Nothobranchius furzeri: one gene and its partners. The protein of the gene in region 5 purifies or fractionates together with the protein of the main gene of each other region. This does not show direct contact. Links are inferred from orthologs where the notes say so. Each region holds a gene or a part of one and is shown on either strand. Other genes may lie near its edges. The genes, in order: srsf7a, nxt2, UAP56-interacting factor, ranbp2 and nxf1a.

Evidence for each region.
Region 1: the proteins of nxf1a (region 5) and srsf7a purify together in Homo sapiens (affinity purification with western blotting; 3 studies listed by BioGRID and IntAct, with this or other methods). This does not show direct contact. The link is inferred for Nothobranchius furzeri from reciprocal best matches to the Homo sapiens genes NXF1 and SRSF7.
Region 2: the proteins of nxf1a (region 5) and nxt2 purify together in Homo sapiens (co-immunoprecipitation; 5 studies listed by BioGRID and IntAct, counting the BioPlex papers as one, with this or other methods). This does not show direct contact. The link is inferred for Nothobranchius furzeri from reciprocal best matches to the Homo sapiens genes NXF1 and NXT2.
Region 3: the proteins of nxf1a (region 5) and UAP56-interacting factor purify together in Homo sapiens (affinity purification with western blotting; 3 studies listed by BioGRID and IntAct, with this or other methods). This does not show direct contact. The link is inferred for Nothobranchius furzeri from reciprocal best matches to the Homo sapiens genes NXF1 and FYTTD1.
Region 4: the proteins of nxf1a (region 5) and ranbp2 purify together in Homo sapiens (co-immunoprecipitation; 5 studies listed by BioGRID and IntAct, with this or other methods). This does not show direct contact. The link is inferred for Nothobranchius furzeri from reciprocal best matches to the Homo sapiens genes NXF1 and RANBP2.

Annotation. Positions count from the first base shown.
Region 1 is NC_091753.1:46,881,479-46,885,588, reverse strand, and holds the start of srsf7a (serine and arginine rich splicing factor 7a), read left to right. Parts: upstream 1-1,298; 5' UTR 1,299-1,964; intron 1,965-1,980; exon of another isoform or gene 1,981-2,086; intron 2,087-4,110.
Region 2 is NC_091741.1:25,497,699-25,501,647, forward strand, and holds the start of nxt2 (NTF2-related export protein 2), read right to left. Parts: upstream 2,802-3,949; 5' UTR 2,652-2,801; coding exon 2,637-2,651; intron 2,498-2,636; coding exon 2,411-2,497; intron 1-2,410. Other genes in the region: psmd10 (26S proteasome non-ATPase regulatory subunit 10), read left to right, coding at 3,102-3,215, 3,305-3,403, 3,751-3,897. UniProt on the Homo sapiens protein: Regulator of protein export for NES-containing proteins. Also plays a role in mRNA nuclear export.
Region 3 is NC_091751.1:69,956,036-69,960,087, reverse strand, and holds UAP56-interacting factor, read right to left. Parts: upstream 2,813-4,052; 5' UTR 2,681-2,812; coding exon 2,644-2,680; intron 2,551-2,643; coding exon 2,452-2,550; intron 2,379-2,451; coding exon 2,227-2,378; intron 1,723-2,226; coding exon 1,613-1,722; intron 1,551-1,612; coding exon 1,451-1,550; intron 1,383-1,450; coding exon 1,327-1,382; intron 1,244-1,326; coding exon 1,169-1,243; intron 1,079-1,168; coding exon 952-1,078; intron 872-951; coding exon 770-871; 3' UTR 507-769; downstream 1-506. UniProt on the Homo sapiens protein: Required for mRNA export from the nucleus to the cytoplasm. Acts as an adapter that uses the DDX39B/UAP56-NFX1 pathway to ensure efficient mRNA export and delivering to the nuclear pore.
Region 4 is NC_091747.1:23,235,794-23,239,310, reverse strand, and holds part of ranbp2 (E3 SUMO-protein ligase RanBP2), read right to left. Parts: intron 2,709-3,517; coding exon 2,628-2,708; intron 2,427-2,627; coding exon 2,251-2,426; intron 1,960-2,250; coding exon 1,695-1,959; intron 1-1,694. UniProt on the Homo sapiens protein: E3 SUMO-protein ligase which facilitates SUMO1 and SUMO2 conjugation by UBE2I. Involved in transport factor (Ran-GTP, karyopherin)-mediated protein import via the F-G repeat-containing domain which acts as a docking site for substrates.
Region 5 is NC_091741.1:88,110,457-88,113,024, forward strand, and holds the end of nxf1a (nuclear RNA export factor 1), read right to left. Parts: intron 1,273-2,568; coding exon 1,090-1,272; intron 1,006-1,089; coding exon 945-1,005; intron 851-944; coding exon 812-850; 3' UTR 517-811; downstream 1-516.

The DNA of each region.
Region 1 (4,110 bases), on a different chromosome or scaffold from region 5:
TTGTTAGAGATGATCAGCACCAGCTGGGACAGATGTATCACCTCCAATCTGCACTCCAGCCAGATGTGACCCGGATTTGGCTCAAGCAGCCAGAAACAGAACTGTCCTGATGCAACATCCCGACAATGTTCCGTGTTTCCATGAAGTTCTGTACTAACTGTCGGCTTCGGCCTTTGCTGTTCTGTACTTAGATGTGATTCCCCTCCCATCCAGCCTCACAGACTCCTCCTAGTGTGTGTCTGTGTTTTTTTCCTTCCTTTCTGTGTTCCTCTGCACATGCATGACAAATTCCCGTGTTCGTGTCTTAGCAGCATGGTCTACTCTGATAGAATTCCTACATTTGAAATACAAATGTCTCTCTGAGATACAACATTCAAAAACACAACCACACATCTGTCTGCTGCTATCTCCTGCTAAGCAGCATCCATTTTTAATAACATTTTTTGAACCAACGATATTTCTGTGTCTGTGTTGTAAATGTTCACCCTCTTATCCCCACCTCCCTGCTCCCTCCCAGGTCTTGCTCTTCAGTGTCTTTCTGTGAAGTTGTTTCCTGTGATGATGACATTTTCTCTCTGCTTGAACCTTTGTAGGGAAACAATGAAGGAGTTATTACAATATCATGTGATAGACATATACATTTATTCAATGCTCTAATAAATTAACTAAAGTTTTGTATGAAATGCAAAGAAAAAAAACTTTAGAAAAAAGTAGTTTTGGAACATATGGCATGAGATGTAATGTGTTACTGACAGAAAAAGAAGGTCTTTAATCAACTAAAGTTGACCTTAGTTAAATATAGTTTATTTATTTTAAAAGTATGATGTGTCTGTCTTCATTTTCTACCTTAAATGATCAAATAATTAGCATGTTTTAACCCTCTCAGGCTCAAAATAAGTTTAGATAAAAGGACGAATAACTAAGTCCTTCGGGTACTTCTGAATTAAAAAAATGCTCATGAAATAGGTATGTAGAGTGACCAGGTAGGTTTTAACGTTGCAAATCTGCAACGCCTGCCTCCAGAGGGTCAAATAAGACATTATTTTAAAGTATATTTGTTAAGGAAATGTTAATGAGCCATTCTTATAGTGAATTAATATTTTCATTATATAAATTAGCCATAATATCAGACAGTGCCATGACATTTTACCAAATGTATTGGTTATTAATTAAAATTATTATCAATCCTTGAAGGATTGCATATCACCAATTGCATTTTAATTATGGATTTGAAGCTAAATATTTTTGGGGAAATTAGGTAAGTAGCCAATTTCCTATTATGTATAAAATAATGTAATTTGCCATTGCTATCATGAAATTATTCTCAGCTACTGCCAGGTGAAAGTATATGTAAACTGACTGAATTATAACCATCCTTCTGTTTGTTGGGGTCAATTAGCTGTGGAAACCATCTTAAATTGGTGGGCCCCTAAGTTTAATCAGTTGCAGATGCAGATGATGGCTACATTATTTATAGATCACTAGATATTTTGTAATGCTTTCCAGAGAGTGCAAGCCTTAGCTGGTTTTTATAGTGTTTGTAATAATAAAATAAATAAAGAATTAAGTAAATAAGTAAATAATAATAATAATAATAAAGTGTGGACATTTATCCATGTTTCTTAGTAAACATAAATTTGCCCCCAAAATGTAAACTCATTTTGAACATCAAGTGTTGCAAATTATTTCCTTGTGTTTTCAATCTATTTGTTTCAATTTATTTATGTTGTATCGTGTTATTATGTTCAAAATAAATAAATAAATAAATAAATAAATAAATAAATAAATAAATAAATAAATAAATAAATAAATTTTACAATTTTCCTACCGAACAGAGAAGCGCTTGGCAGCAGGCCATATTTTGTTACACCGCATTCCGCCTGGGGGCGGTAGTGCGTCATTCCATTAAGCTTGTCTGATACAAGAGGAAGAAGGAAACGCGTCGCTGCTCGTCGGTAGCCTTGGTAAGTGAAGTAATTTAAGAGCTAAGAAAAAAAATCATGTTATTTGTGTGAACGAGAAGTCCTTTCGAATCATTGTTTTCCCGCTTAACGTGACTGCGAAATGTTGGTTGAGACAGCTGGAGGTAATCTTTGAAACGGATTTTTAATATAAAAAAATGAGCAGAGGAAGTTGAGGCCTACTAGCGCGTGCTACCGCCATTGTTAATGAGCCAGGGCCTCGACTAATTTCTGGATTTTACCGTTTACTTCGTCAACGTGCGTTGTGTCATTGATTTTTTTAATTTATTTTACTGTAATCTCCATTTAATTTGTTCTAGAGTTTCATTTTATGTTGGTGAATTAGACTAGGCAAGGCTTCCACACAAACAGGAATCCGCATTGCACCTGAAGCTGAAAGTATCCTCCTTACGCAGGTATTGTAAACCTGTCGCATCTGACAAACATTGACACGGTGAAATTGCTAATAGCCGTCAAGAACATTCGACATGAATGTCAGTGGCATGAACAGTTAAATTTAGAGACTGTAGGGGAGATCGTATTTTAGTGGGGCTCATAGACATGATGCTGATGCACCAATCGAGGCTTGTGTTTTTCAAAACACTAATTATTTATTTAGGCACACGGATAGGCTTACTGGCAAACATCATAAATAACCTTCTGTTTTAGTCGAGGAAAGGTTGATTGAGATTTCTGTGCATCTCTTATATAAAAATTTGGTTAATGTAATTGTGTGTGTGTGTTTGTGTGTGTGCGTGTGTGTGTGCGTGTGCGCTTTGAAGAACCTAATGTACAGCTTGCTTGTATTTTTAGGACTCATTAAATATTAGGCAGGGGTGGACATTAACTTCAAAACCAACCGGCCAGCCGGGCCGGTAACTCTGAATATTTACCGGCCCCACCAAGAATCTACCGGCCCCACTGGTCAGCTGCCAAAACAAGTCAAAATAAAAACGGAACCGTTTTAAATGTAATAAACCTTTATTTTGTACACATTCACAAACATAATAACGTATTCAAGTTTGAATTTGTTTGTTCCCTCAACAAAACACGATTTTGTCGTCGCATACTTCCGGCATACAACGCAGTACATCACCAACTCCGCTTTGCTGTATTCGAGCCATTGACTGTGTTCGAGATGAGCCAGTTCTGCGCAGGTTAGACCAGCGGTGATCGGCGAGCAGTGCATGCCGGTTAGATTTGTGTCCGAATTGACGCCGACTTGCTCTGACGTCATGCATACGTAGGCATCGATAACCTCGTGAGATCAAGGCGGCCACAGATTTTGGAGCAAGGCGCTGCAGTTGCTCTCCCTCGGCTGCAAAACCTAGAGGATGACGGAAACGCCTGGCTCTCACCTGATCTAAGATCTGATTGGTTCATATTTTGATCCAAACATCCGGTGGTAGAACATGAAATGTTAGTTGGTCACATGTATTCTGTAAATCATGTTACGCTGATAATAACAACAATATAGGCCATAAAGAGAAATGTGTTTTGTTTTCTTTTGTCACGTTTCCTATGAGCACACTAAACCTACAGCTGCTAACCTTTACTTATTATTACACTCATGTCTTCATATACAATATATGATATCCACAAGCACGTGAGGATGTGTTTCAGCTGCTAACAGGCACCAGAATTAAAATTGAAAATTGAACAAGTGTGAATGCTAACGCGATATCTTCATCCATCGTCACCCCCGAGCTACACATGTAGGAAAATCCAAGAGATTCAACTGGCAGAAACAACTGGTTCACACCATAGTCTCTCTCTCTCCTCTCCTCTCCCTCTCTCTCCTCTCTCCCTCTCTCTCCTCTCCTCTCCCTCTCTCTCCACTCACTCACTCACTCACTCACAGGTAGAGGAAAAGAGCTGAGGAAATTGAGGACACCAGGTAGTTAAAAGAAAATCCACAGCGGAGCCGAGGCGCGCCTCGAATGGGGCGCGTCTGATTTGAACTGAGGAGCGGCGAGCAGCGGCCGGACTTCGTGAGCGATTCGCTTCGGGCGCTTCCGCGGCCGGTGTGTCCCCGGCAAAACGCCGTCTTTCAGCCACTCCCCCTGCTTCTTCCGTCTGCTCTCGTATGTTTTCCAGGCGAGGCGCTGCTCAACTCGAACACGGCCATTCTCTGCGCCTCCCGTCTTCT
Region 2 (3,949 bases), about 63 Mb from region 5:
CATCTTATAGGAAATAACAGTATAAACTACATTACTGATGACGTATGATTCAGCTTTAGCCCAGATCAAGAACCATTAATGACAACAGTCTCATCCAGTCAGATTATTTGAACAAGAGCTGAGAAACACAGATGAATAACGGAGGATGTTATAACAATCTAATGAATTTAACATCACAAGCTCTGGAGTTAACCACTTTTGGGAATGTTGCTCTAAAGTTGTTTAGCAAGTGGAACAGGAAAAGATCCGGCCTATATAATTGCAACACGTGGAATGATGTGTTCCTGTTTGTCCATAATGTTGCTTCTCTGTGTGTGTGTGTGTGTTGGAGGGGTGGGGGGGTATTATCTTTCAGTGTGCAACACAGCTGTTACGGATTGTTAGTAAAAGATAAAATAGTCTAGACATCTGCAGTTATTTCAGTTTAACTCTTAAAAAATGACATTATCTCAATCAGCTGGTGGCAAAGAAGAATTAAGTTGCTGTTTTGTTTTTTTAGTCTAAATCCGAGACGTGGTTTTTGACCAGAAAAGGGTAGAATGCCTTCTCCAGGTCAGGGATGAGGTCTCGCCTCAAGTGGAGGAGTTTAAGTATCTCGGGGTCTTGTTCACGAGTGAGGGAAAGATGGAGTGGGAGATCGATAGGCGGATTGGTGCTGCATCTACAGTACTGTGGGCGTTGTACCGGTCTGTCCTGATGAAGAGAGAGGAAAAGCTCTCGATTTACTGGTCGATCTACGTTCCTACCCTCACATATGGTCATGAGCTTTGGGTAGTGACCAAAAGAATGAGATCGTGGATACAAGCGGCCAAAATAAGTTTTCTCCGCTGGGTGGCTGGTCTCTTTCTTAGAGATAGGGTGAGAAGCTCGGTCATTCGGGAGGGGGTCGGAGTAGACCCGCTGCTTCTCCACATCAAGAGGAGCCAGTTGAGGTGGCTCGGGCATCTAGTTAAGATGCCTCCTGGACGCCTCTCTGGTGAGGTTTTCCGGGCAGGTCCAGCCGTAAGAAGACCTAATAGAAGACCCAGAACACGCTGGAAGGACTTTGTCTCATGGCTGGCCAGGGAGCTTCTTGGGATTGCCCCAGAGAAGCTGGCCCAAATAGCTGAGCGGGGGAAATCTGGGCTTCTCTGCTTAGGCTACTACCCCCGTGACCCGACCTCGGATAAGCAGCTGAAAATGGATGGAAGGATGTCCTTGGACAATACACTTAACCCATCTTGCCTGCTGGTGGGGGTTGGTGGGACTGGTTGCACCTGTGCTTGGCAGCCTCCCCTCTGTTAGTGTGCCCCAGGGCAGCTGTGGCTACACTGTAGCTCATCACCACCCGTGTGTGAATGGATGAATGATACACTGAAGTGCAAAGCTCTTTGGAGTCTTCTGACTCTGAAAGGTGCTGTACAAGTGTGGGTCATTTATCATTATCATTTATCAATATGGACACCCGATAAGAACCATTCCACATCACAAAACAAAGTCCTGCTCATTAGTGTAACGGCGCACAGAGATATAAAAGTGAGCCAGGAATGTTAAAGAAAATGCCGACATAAAGATAAAGATGGAAACCAAAGAGTAGATAAAATCTAGGAGGGAAATGTCAAACGCATTACAACATAATAAAAACCTTTGTAGATAGATTACAAAAAAATTAAATAACAACAATAATAACAATAATAATAATATATGATTGAATATAATTTTTTTATTCAATTTGAAGGGTCAAATAAATGTATTCATGAATTTCTATATAAATTTTGTTTTGATTTGTTTAAATCTCCCATAAAATGAGGATTTAAAAAAAAATTTAAGCTAAATTTATTGAAAAATAACTCTAGGATTCTTACACATTTCTAATGTCAGACTCAAGTATTTTCAAGACCTCTTCAAAACCTCCAGTAACTACGTTGCATGAACAGAGCAGAAACACTTGTTTCACTTCCCTGTCTAATGAAAGTAAACAATTGTTGTGCAACAAATCTCAGTGAAACCTTTTTCATTCAATTACTTTCAAAAATTTTGACATGCCACAAAAAATTCAAACATTCTTAAGAATTTTGAGTCACCTGTAATCAGAAATTCTAATAAAAAAATTATAACAGAAGAGTACATGTGTCGATGCATGTTATTAATTTTCAAATAAATTGCAGAAATGTACATAAATATTAATTTTAACTTTTTAAATTTTAAACAGCGTAAGTGTTTCCTGAATATAGTTACAACAGGAATCTAGTAAACGTTTGGATTAAAACCACTGCTCCCTAGTGAGGAAACTGTGGAACAGCAGTTTTTATAGCTTACATTCCAAAAGAGAAGTTTATAAATATGTGATCAAATCTGGAAAGGTCCTGTATGTTCATAAAAATAATGAAAACCAAGTGTGTTTAAAAACAATCAACTTTCAGACGCTCACCCTCCTTTTCTTGTCCATGCAGTCGTAGTAAATGTTAACAAACTCCTCCGCATACCTGCACGACTGGTCGGCATGGGTCCTGAAATCCTGAAGTGATAATCAGGCAATAAATACATTTAATTTAACTAATGCATTTATTTGAGCTTAAAATGAAAAGTAGCATACCATGATTAGCTTCTGAGCTTTTGGCTACAGAAGCCACGTGTAACTAAAGTAATAAACTTACCAGGGTACTTGCCATGTCTACATGTACATATGGACTAGTGCTGCACAATACAAATCAGAAAATTGTAAGAATTTAGATGAAAATATTAAAACTTGCAATATTTTCTCCCTTTGTTCGTTTAGTAAGCGACGCATGTGGCCTGTAGCATGTTTTACTTCCTGAGAGCAAAACTTGAACCTACCAAAATAAAAGGCATGAACCTTTGGTCGAATTCAATGAAGTTTATTTATCACAATGTGTGTGTTTTATATAGTTTTACAAAAAATATTATAGGAAAATACGGTGCTATATTATGCTATAAATAATATGTACAGGAAAAAAGTGCAACAATTTGGTCCTTGTGTTTTATTTTGAAGAGAAAAAAATGACCTAAGCGGATGTAGAGCTCACAATTTCCTGAGTCATCGCGCTCGCGAACGCAGCAATTTCAAACATTACCTTGAAGTTTTATTTAATTTTTGGACTATGGAGGGTTCTGTGTCTAACGTGGAAGTCTGTAATTTAGCATACACCGGTCAGTACGAGAGACTAAGACAGTGTGTTATGCTAGACAAAACGCTTGCCAGCAAAACGGATCAGGTAAGAATAAACGAACTAGCAATTCCAGCGTTATTACTTTTTCTTTTGTTTTTTCCAAATGAGCTGACCTGGTTAATCTCTGGTTTCAGGACGGCAGGACCGCTCTACACTGGGCTTGTTCGGCTGGTCACACCAATATAGTGGCGTTTCTGCTTGAACTGGGAGTTGATGTGAATGTGCAAGATGATGTATGCATATTCTATGTTAAAATAAAACTAAAGAGTTGGTTTTAGTTTAAGCCAGGGGTGCCCAATCCTGGTCCTGGAGGTTTTATCCAGCATTTTTAAGTTTTAACCCTGTTTCAACACACCTTATCTCCGTCAGCAGGCGATTAACCTTTAATTAGGAGGCTTCTGCAGAGCCTGATCAACTGCTGCACAGGTGATTCAACCACTGAATCAAGTGTGTGGGAGCAGAAAAACCACAAAACTTGCTGGATACCGGTCCTCCAGAACCAGGATTGGGCACCCCTGGTTTAAGCTGTTTTAGAAAGGTGACATCTTACTAACACCGTGCGCTTTGGGTCATTCCCCAGGCCTGTTGGACTCCTTTGCACATCGCTGCATCTGCAGGCAGAGAAGACATAGTGAGGGATCTGATATGCAAAGGAGCTCAGCTGAACTCTGTCAACCAGAACGGATGCACACCTCTGCACTATGCTGCCTCTAAAGACCGATATGAGGTAGAGTTTGCTGCTCACAGTCACAATAACTGGGACTACACACTAGACCTGT
Region 3 (4,052 bases), on a different chromosome or scaffold from region 5:
TGTATGTGTGCATGCTGTGTGTGTCTGTGTTTATGCATGCGTGCGTGCATGCATGGGTGCCTGTGTGTGTATGTGTGTATGCATGTGTGTCTGTGTTTATGCGTGCATGTGTGCATGCATGCGTGTGTGTGTATGTGTGCATGCATGGGTGCCTGTGTGTGTGTATGTGTGCATGCTGTGTGTGTCTGTGTTTATGCATGCGTGCGTGCATGCATGGGTGCCTGTGTGTGTATGTGTGTATGCATGTGTGTCTGTGTTTATGCGTGCATGCATGCACACATACGCACACATGGGTGTGCGTATGTGTGCATGCATGCGTGTGTGTGTATGTGTGCATGCATGGGTGCCTGTGTGTGTGTGTTTATGCGTGCGTGCGTGTGTGTGTGCGCTCTACAAGATCAAATGTAGCTGTTGCTGCTCATGGAGCCTGTAGGGCTCTGAATCCAGACCGGGGTGTGAAGCTGCAGCTACAAACACGTGAGATTCCTCCCATAGACGCAACATGGTTACAAAGTTAGAGAAACTCATTTATTTGAAGAAATTACAAAACGAGTCATCTGAAAAATGCGCTGCACACACACACACACACGTGCTATTGTAGCAAACACAGTCGTCTGGAAGGAAAGTGTTCACGGTTTTAACAGTTTCAAGTCCCAAACTTAAAACACGAGATCCCAGTACTGGATATCCACGACACGACAGTCTGAACACAACAAACGGTAGGACTCGTCTGGTGAGACGGCGGCGCTGGGTGGCTCCGCCCCACCCGCTAGCCCACGGTAACAAATCTGCTGCCTTTGCCGCTCTGCGCCGCCGCAGTGCGCTGACCTTTCAGGATCCGGAAACGCTCGTTCAGGGTCATGGACGTTTGCTGAGGAGGGAAGTCAGAGGCCACATGTTAACCGTGCAGATCCACCACCAGCAGCAGCAGCTGGAAGGTGCCGCTCTCACCGGTTTGCCGACACTGTTGATGTCAAACTGAAGAGGAACTCCTTTTGGGATCTTCTTCTCCACCGTTTCCTCTTTCACAGGAGCTGGGTTGACGGGTGGGGGGTACAGAGTCCACGCAGTGGGAGGCCTGTAAACACGATCCACACACAAGCTGAAACCCACCCTACCCACCAGAACCTTCTACGTGCTGCGTGTGCTGGACCGGGCCGACGCTCACTCCGGCTGAGTCCTGGCTGACGGGTTGTCGATAGAAACGGTCAGGATTCCATCGCTGGTTGTTGAAGTCCGCCACCTGGTGGACAAACAGACACACTTAGACCTTCCTGATGGAGGCAGGTATGAGGTCACCTGAAACGGAAGCCCTGCTGTGCTCACTGTCTCGCTTGTGTCGGGGGGGCGTGGGGGTTTGGCCTCCGGACCTGAGCTTGAACCTGAGGAGGAGAGTGACGCGTGTCAGCTGATGGATGGAGGATGCAACAGCTGAGCTGGCAGCAAGTACCTTGAGGCCTCTGTTAAACAGAAACATGGCCTGGCGGGCCTCCCTCTGCGTCTGCTGGACAGGGGGCGGCGGCCTGAGAAAGCAGAAATCCAAACCAGCCCTGTTGTAGAATAAAATAAAGCCGATCGGACGTCACAAAGTAAACTAGTGGGACTCGCTCACCGTCCGCGCAGCTGGAAGGGTCTCCTGGTGGATGTGGAGTTCTGGCCTCTGAGTGGATCGGGCTGCCGGTACAGCCGTCTCTGAGCCTCCGAGCGCCTCGGTCTCAGCTTCTGTAACAACAGATCTTCGTCATTAGGTCGAGTCATCACATGATAAAAAGCGTGGCTGGATTCTGACAGCACAGAAGATGTCTGATGATCGGAGGCGAGGCAGATCCGGGCCTCCTCCCTCAGAAGATGCTCTCGTTAGAGGTCAGACCCAACTCGAGCAGCTGAATGGACATCCCTGAGGGTGGGACGCTCCACCTCTCGGAGGGAGTTCCTTTCCGCTGCTTCCAGTGAATTTCCAGGACTTGAACGAGGTCAGAGTGCAGACCGACTGGAGAAACAACATCTTGGTTCTCTAGATCAGCTTCCTCATAGCTGAAGTATGATTAGTTCACTTGTCGATTCCTACCCGAGGTTCCAGGATGAAATCAAGGTTCTTGTCCCAGCGAACTGATTCCCACATTACCGACGTGGACTTGGGCTGGAGGGTGGATCGGCTACAAGGTGAGAGACAACAACCTAGCAGGTTAGATGGTGATGAAGGGACAACGGTCAGACAGCCGTTACCTGGCTGCCTGCTGATCTGTTCAGGGTCCCGGTCCGCTTCAGCAGGGCAGCTGGCCTCCTGGCCGCCAGCCCCGTGATTAACCCTTGACCCCGCCATCGCCCCGGCAGGGAAGCAACCCCTCTGCTTCTGAACTTAGGGGCTCCTCCTCCTCCTGGTGAGAGGATGTTTGTGACGTCACACGAATGCTGCGTAGGCCGGAGTCTACCTGTCACGGCGGGACTCACCTGCTCTTCCTTGGCCCTTTTTCTTGAACGGTCGGCGGTTCGTGTTGGCTTGTCTCCTTTTGAACTGTCTCTCTTTTTTGTTCAAGCGGATGATGTCATCTGTCAAAGTTAGCACAGCAGCAGCGGGTCAGTCCGCCTGCTACAACAGCGCAGCTAACGGCGCGAGACCCGCCATTAAACACAAACCCTTACCCAGCGACATGTCCACTTTATCGGGAGGCGCTGCCATGGTCGTCCGGCCTTCTGGGAAACCACCTTGGTTTATGAGCAGGTGTAACTAAGAAGTCGGCTAACGCTACAACAGCTGAAACGCCTCCGGAGCTGCTGCTTCTTCCCTTGGACGGGAGACAAACAACGCATGCAGCGTTAGCGCCCCCTGCTGGCCTGGAGGGTGGATCACAACCCATCCTCTCCTGCGGTACTGATCACAATCAGAAAAAGGTTTATTGCCATTGTCAGTGAACAAGCAGTTCACAAACTAGGAACTTGTTTCGGTACTAATGTGCTACATATAACATGAATAATAAATTTCAGAAATAGAATAAAGTAGAATAAAATATAATAAAACTAGCATAAAACTTTCAACTATAAAAAAAGGCAGGTAATGGTAATAATGGTAACATGGCCGGTAACGTGACGTTATGTCGAGTACAGAAGACCAGCATGGTTGTGTGTTTATAAGCTGTTCACAAGTCTAACGGCAGATGGAAAGAAGCTGTTCTTATGGCGGGAGGTTCTGGTCCGGATGGACCGTAACCTCCTGCCTGAGGGGAGCGGCTCGAAAAGTCTGTGACCCGGGTGAGAAGGGTCAGCTGCTATCCGACCTGCACGCCCCCGAGTTCTGGAGACGTACAGGTCCTGGAGAGATGGAAGGCTGCAGCCAATCACCTTCTCAGCGGAGCGCACAATGCGCTGCAGTCTATGTTTGTCCCTCACTGTGGCTCCAGCGTACCACACAGCGATGGAGGAGGTGAGGATGGACTCAATGATGGCCGTGTAAAACTGCACCATCATCTGGGCCGGCAGCTTGGCCTTTTTCAACTGCCGCAGAAGTACATCCTCTGCTGGGCCTTTTTGATCAGGGAGCTGATGGATGGCTCCCACCTAAGGTCATGTGTGATGGTGGTTCCGAGGAAGCGGAAGGAGTCCACAGTGGTGACGGGGGTGTCCGTCAGGACGAGTGGGAGAGATGGGGCTGTGACTTTCCTGAAGTCCACAATCGTCTCCACTGTCTTCTGAGCATTGAGCTCCAGGTTGTTGCTGCTGCACCAGCACACCAGCCGATCCACCTCCCTCCTGTAGGCAGACTCGTCACCGTCAGAGATGAGCCCGATGAGGGTGGTGTCGTCCGCAAACTTGATCAGTTTAACGGAGTCATGGCTCGAGCTGCAGCAGTTTGTGTACAGGGAGAAGAGCAGAGGAGAAAGTACACAGCCCTGTGGAGATCCTGTGCTAATTGTCTGAATGGTGGAAACATTCTTCCCCAGCCGCACGCACTGCCTTCGGTCCGTCAGGAAGTCAGTGATCCACCTGCAGGTGGAGTTGGGTACGTTGAGCATGGAGAGCTTGTCCTGGAGCAGAGCAGGGAGGATGGTGTTGAA
Region 4 (3,517 bases), on a different chromosome or scaffold from region 5:
TAAGGAAATTGGCTGCCAGCCACCTCTTCACATCAGAGACCATTCTTGAGTAATAAATCTGTGTTTTGTCTAGGGCTGCACAATATATCGCAAATATATCATTATCGCGATATCAACATGCGCAATATGCATATCACAAAGAACAGATAAATATCGCAATGAACGGTCAGCTCAAATGTTTGCTACACATGACGCATTCTGTCAATCAAATGGAAGCATGATGCTTTTTTAACAAATCAAATAGAGCTCTTCATCCATTTGGCCAACTGGGTGGGTTCTCATAGGTTAAATGCCCGCCCCCGACACTTAATTTTGATGGTTAGCAAACACCCGAGTTAGCTTTGTTCTGCTCTTTCTGCTGATTCTGCTTTTCCCGGGATCCACTGATTGCCTTTTCTTGTTCATTTTCTTTTTCCCTTTCTTGACACCTTTTGCTTTTCTCATTTTTATTTATTTATTTTTTTTATTTCTTTGTTTTTGATCATTTTTGTTCCACAGTTAAGTTTTAATTTATCGCAAGTAATACTGTCATCGCAATATTAATCACTGTTATCGCACATCGCAGCTTTTTCTAATATCGTGCAGCCCTAGTTTTGTCCATTCATTGCCGAGTATATCTGAAAGTCATCTGCGTAGCTATGGTAGCCTATGCTGTACCATTTTAAAATCTGTCCCAAAGGGAGAAGATAGATGGAGAACAGAATGAGCCCCCAGGACAGAACCCTGCAGCTCCCCCCAGGTCAACAGAAGGCAGGGAGAGGCACAGTCACCCATACACACACACAAAAAAGACCCATTTGCCAGATAGGAACGGAACCAACCCAGGGCTGGACCCAAAAGACCGACCCAGCATTTTAGATAATTTAGCAGGATTTGATGGTCGACTGTATCAAAAGCTGCTGAGAGGTCCAGCAACAGCAGCAGAATGTGGGACTCCTGAGTCGGATGCTACCAAGTACATGAATCAAAGCAGACTCGGCGCTGTGATGTGGTCTGAATTAGGCATGCAAAATTACGATACTGGTATCTGTGCCGATACAGATATTGGTATCGGTAAAAGTTAACAGATACCAGTAACTGATACCAATGCAGTTGCTTGAAAGTGACTTCCCTGTAACTTGTCATTTTTGTTCATCTAATATTTTAGTTTTGTGATCACTTATATTACTTTTTATCTACCTCACAGTCTTTTCCTGTTGAAAACAGAGAAGAAAATAAAACCTGTATTCTAATTCATTGCATTTTTTGGTGTGGTAGAAGTATCTGCATCGGTTATCGGTATCGGTGAGTACTCAGATCCAAGTATCGGTATCGTATCGGTTTGGAAAAAAGTGGTATCGTTGCATCCCTAGTCTGAATGCAGACTGAAACTTATTTAACAGTGCATTGTCCTCCATATTGGCCGTAATCTGTGAATGAACAGCTTTCTCCAAGACCTTTGAAGGAATGGAGCTTGACGTTTTATGACAAATGACTAAAGAAATGACGAATACAGAAATAAACGCATTAATGATAGAAAACACCTAAAGGACAACTCTAGTGTGTTCTCTTTTCTTAATGCATTTCTAAAGTATCGGATCGGGACTCGGTATTGGCAGACTCTGAAAATCAAATGCCTCTGAATCAGAAGCATAAAAACGTGATCGGAACATCCACTACTGTTAACTACATACGTGAACATCAGTCCTAAGCACCTTCTGTACCTTGACCAGTAGTTGTGACAGCTAAAGCTGAAGAATCAGGTCCTGTTTTAGTCTCTGGGTTCTTCTTAGTGGACAGGTCAATCGGGAAGCTGCAGCTGGGCGTTTCGCTCCTAGTGTCTGTTTTGACTGAAGTTAGACCATCGGATGTCGACATGCTTGAAGCCTCTGCACTGTTGGATGGTGGTGCTGAGGCTGGGTTCTCTGGGGCCTCTACAGAACTGCTGGATGCCGGCTCAGCTCCCTTTAACTGGGCCACCTGATTAAATTAAACCCACGTTATTTTATGACTACATCCTTCCCGGTGTATTATGTGTGTATGCCTGTAGAAAATGACTGGTATTCCTGAAAAACAGAAGCCTTGACTGACTAGCTGCAGCATCATGATTACCTGAGCAGATCCTACCATCCAAACCCACCACCAACCTGACAGAACAGACTTAAGCCTTTTTCTACAAACAGCTCCACATATAGCTGATCATGTAAACGCATGTTGGTAAACACCCCCCTCAATAAGTGAACTAAACTCCACCCCCACTGAGTTAGTTACCAGGTCTTTGTGTGCTTTGTGGACTTCTGTCTCAAAGTCTTCAGGCTTGTCGCTGTCTGGGTCACTATCTGTGGTGCTCAGGCCGCAGAAGAATGTGGGTGGGAGCTGGAGGCTTTTGGCCTTCTCCTCCTCCTCTGGTGTTGGTTTCTTCTCCCACACAATCTGACAGTCTGGCTCTGAAAGCAGAACTCACAAGATTAGTGTGACACATCGACGGTGTGACAGCATGACTTGCTCAGAAGAAGCACCACCATTACTGCAGCAGAGCACATAGTTAATGTGGTTAATTCATATTTATTATATTCAATAAACTGTTCTAATGAATCAAAGCAATGATAAATGTTATGTAGATGCTGACTTGACTGAGTTAGACTTACCTTCATGACAAGCTGCTGCCTCAGGAGGATCTAGGTAGAGCTTTCCATTCAAGGCTTTAACTGCTGACTCAAAGTCCTCATCTGACAGTAAAATACAAATTAGTACTATTAAAATAAATATATAAATGACTGCACATGACCAACAACCCAGTTCCAAAACAGAAGCGGTTAGTTTCGGTGGTTCTTGAGCAGAGGTGGAAATGAAAACTTTTCTACCAGCCACTCAAACATTTAACCAGCCACGTTTTTATGTGAAACATTTTGCCTCAGTTAGCAGCTTCTATCTCTGCTCTGAGGGAGTTTCTCTCAACTTCAGCTTTGTACGTCAAACACTCTGGCTGCTTCCAATTCACATCAGTTTATTCCCTTCCTTTCATCTAATCCACAATGAAGGAGAAAAAATCTAGGACTTGGAAGTAATAATACTTAACATTGTGGATCTTTTTACTTGGTAGTTTATTTTAGTATTAGCTGGCTTATGCTAGTGTTGGCCAGTGTTGGGAGTAATGCGGTACAAAAGTAATTAATTACTGTAATGCATTGGTTTTTGCTGTAATGTGGTAATGTAAGGCATTACAGGGAAAGAAAATGGTAATATTTACTCGGTACAATTGTCAGTAACGCAGTAATTACAATGCATTTTTAAACCCAGAATCCAGATGTGGGTTTCCTAAAAATTCAAATCGCGGGAAACCCGAAGAAAGATCCAGTATCTGCATATATTACGTCATTTATGGACTCAGCTTTGCGGGCAGAGAGGACGCCGCGGTAATGGCTCAAATACTCCAGCGGCGTCCTGCACGCGGCCGCTGCAACATTCACAAAATCGCTCCACTAAAACAAAATAATTCATATCAGCGCATGTTCTCTGGTATTCTGTACTTTTCTGA
Region 5 (2,568 bases):
CCTTCCAGGAATCGAGCATATATCCCACTGCGTGTGTCCCGTGAGGGCAAGTGGGAGACCCCACCTCCGTTCTCATCGTAGAAAAAATCTTAAATCGCGTTGAATGACCAATTCATTAAATCAATTTCTGAAAAATAGTGATTTCCAGAGGAAATGCAGAGAAGCGCTCTGTAGGCAGACAGGACAAAAAGAGCCTTGGGAAAGCAGATAAGGGAGCAAAGCAGAAGCGACTGTGCTCTGTGAGTGCCAGGAGAAGCAGCATTCCCCCAGGTTTCTGGAGTTGACGCTGCTGTAAACTAGTCAATGTGTTATGTGGAAATAGGATGGTGTATGCACCGGTTATGCAGAATAAAAATAACTCCCTTATCTATGAAAGGTATTACGTGTGCACCATTAAATCCTGTATTTTAGTTCTAATACCATTCTGTATCTTTTCTGTCCACATAAGCATAACATTAATAAAACTACCCAGCCTTTTCCATGTTTTTCTTTCAATATGAAGTGAAATGTAATAACTGCTTTCCGAAAAATATTTTATTAACATTTAACAAATTCCAGATTAACAACTTTAAACAATTGCCCATCACGTATGTATTCTATGAACACGTCTCCTATCATCTATACAGAAAGACTACTGAGTGACGTGTAACTAGCAAAGACAGCAGCTCAAAAGAAGACTTTTAGCTGTTAAAACAAATTTAACATGAGTAAACCTGAATATTGTGACTGTAAAATTAGGGGCAGGAATAAAAGAAAACATGCTATAAATAAAATTACAGCTGGTTTTATTTCACAAAAAAGGTTGAATTCTTCACTTTATGAAGGCCACATCAGGGATCTTGCCATCCGCCTGTACACAGAAGGAAAAAACATCAAAGCCTTAGTTTAGCTTTATTCTTCTGTGTGATGAAAAACAAAAAAAGGAAGATTTGATGTTCCATTACCTTCAACTGTGTGAATATCTGAGCAGCTCTGTTGAAATCCCACTCGTTGTCCAGCAGACATCTATGACAGTAGTACAGGGTTTTAGAGACACATTTGGTTACATGTAAAACATTTGATTATTAGAAAATATTACAAGATCCTTACTTCTGTGACCATTCCAGGTTCATGCCCGACTTCTGGGAGAAGGACGTGAGCATCTCTTGCTGGGGCGCTGTTAGTGTTGGGACAGGACTGGAAGATGGGGTTGGTGCTGGAGCTACAAACGCACGGCGAATCTCCTCTGTCGTCGCCATTCGGACGAATAGCTGATCATTGACAATGCACAAACTGTAAAAACAGGAAGCAGTCAGTGAGTTTTAAATCCTCTTAGTAGAAGGAGGAAACTTTCAGATGTGTGAAAGATTCTGTCACACTGCAGGGTTTGCGAAAACGTCTGAGCCACTCTGTAACGGATTTGTACATCAAGAAGTGGGGTGCCAGCCAGGTCTCTCTCCTGACATATAAGATCAACTGCATCAATTAGTTAACCTTGATGTACGCAGAATCCCTAAAAAGAATGCAACATAGAAACACCCTTCTTCAAAGGAGACACTAAACTAAAATTACTTGATCAACTCAAATTGAGACATCACACAACCAACAACAAACAAATCAGCAGCTTATTGCTCCTCATTAATTATTGATTCGCATCAGTGACAGGGAAGCTACCAATGTAACCGTTCTGCGCTCGGCGGCACTCTCGCAGTCAAACTCTATTTTGAACTCACGGAACCCGACTTTCTCCCAACGGGTCTCGTGGTTCTCGCAGAAGAGCATAAGTACAGAGGTCCAACTCAGAAGAGGAACCTGGGTGAAACAGCTGCGCATCCAACCGAAACTGCGATCCTGTCCTCCTCTTAATCTCTGCTGTGGATTGGCATTCTCGTCTGTCCTCCGTTTTGTCGTTTTCACAAATATTCCCCTTTTTTCAAAATGACTTATTTCTCTCCATCAATCCTCCTTCCGCTTGTCTGCGTCTCTGCCTCTCACTGTCAGAGGGGGCAATCAGACACACCTAATCAGGTCACGCGCCTCTTTTTTAAAGATGCACTCGCCACAGAGGAAATGACATAAGGAAGCATGTAAGATAAAAAAAAAAAAGAAAAAAAAAAAAAAAAGAAAACACAGAACTGGCAAACTGCCACACCGCCTGCTCATTATCATCCGGCCAGCCTCTAAAAGGGGCATTTCTGTTTGTGAACGAGAACGCCCACTCCAAAACGGGAACGCCCCGTCTTATTCGCTCCTGAAATGTTACTTCACCCCCGATGTTTCAAAATAAGTTATTTTCTCCGCTCATCTGTTTTCCGTCTTTCTTATACAGGTATTGATCATATGTGCTCATCCTGCCCTTTCATTTTGTGTTGCTGGTTTGAGGTGAGCGCGCGCCACGCTCTCCGAACCCGAACCTGCCTTTACAGTCAGGTCCATAAATATTGTGACATCGACAATGCTAACATTTTTGGCTCTATACACCACCACAATGGATATGAAATGAAACGAACAAGAAGTGCTTTAACTGCAGATTGTCAGCTTTTATTTGAGGGTATTTACATCTAAGTCAGGTGAACGGTGTAGGAATTA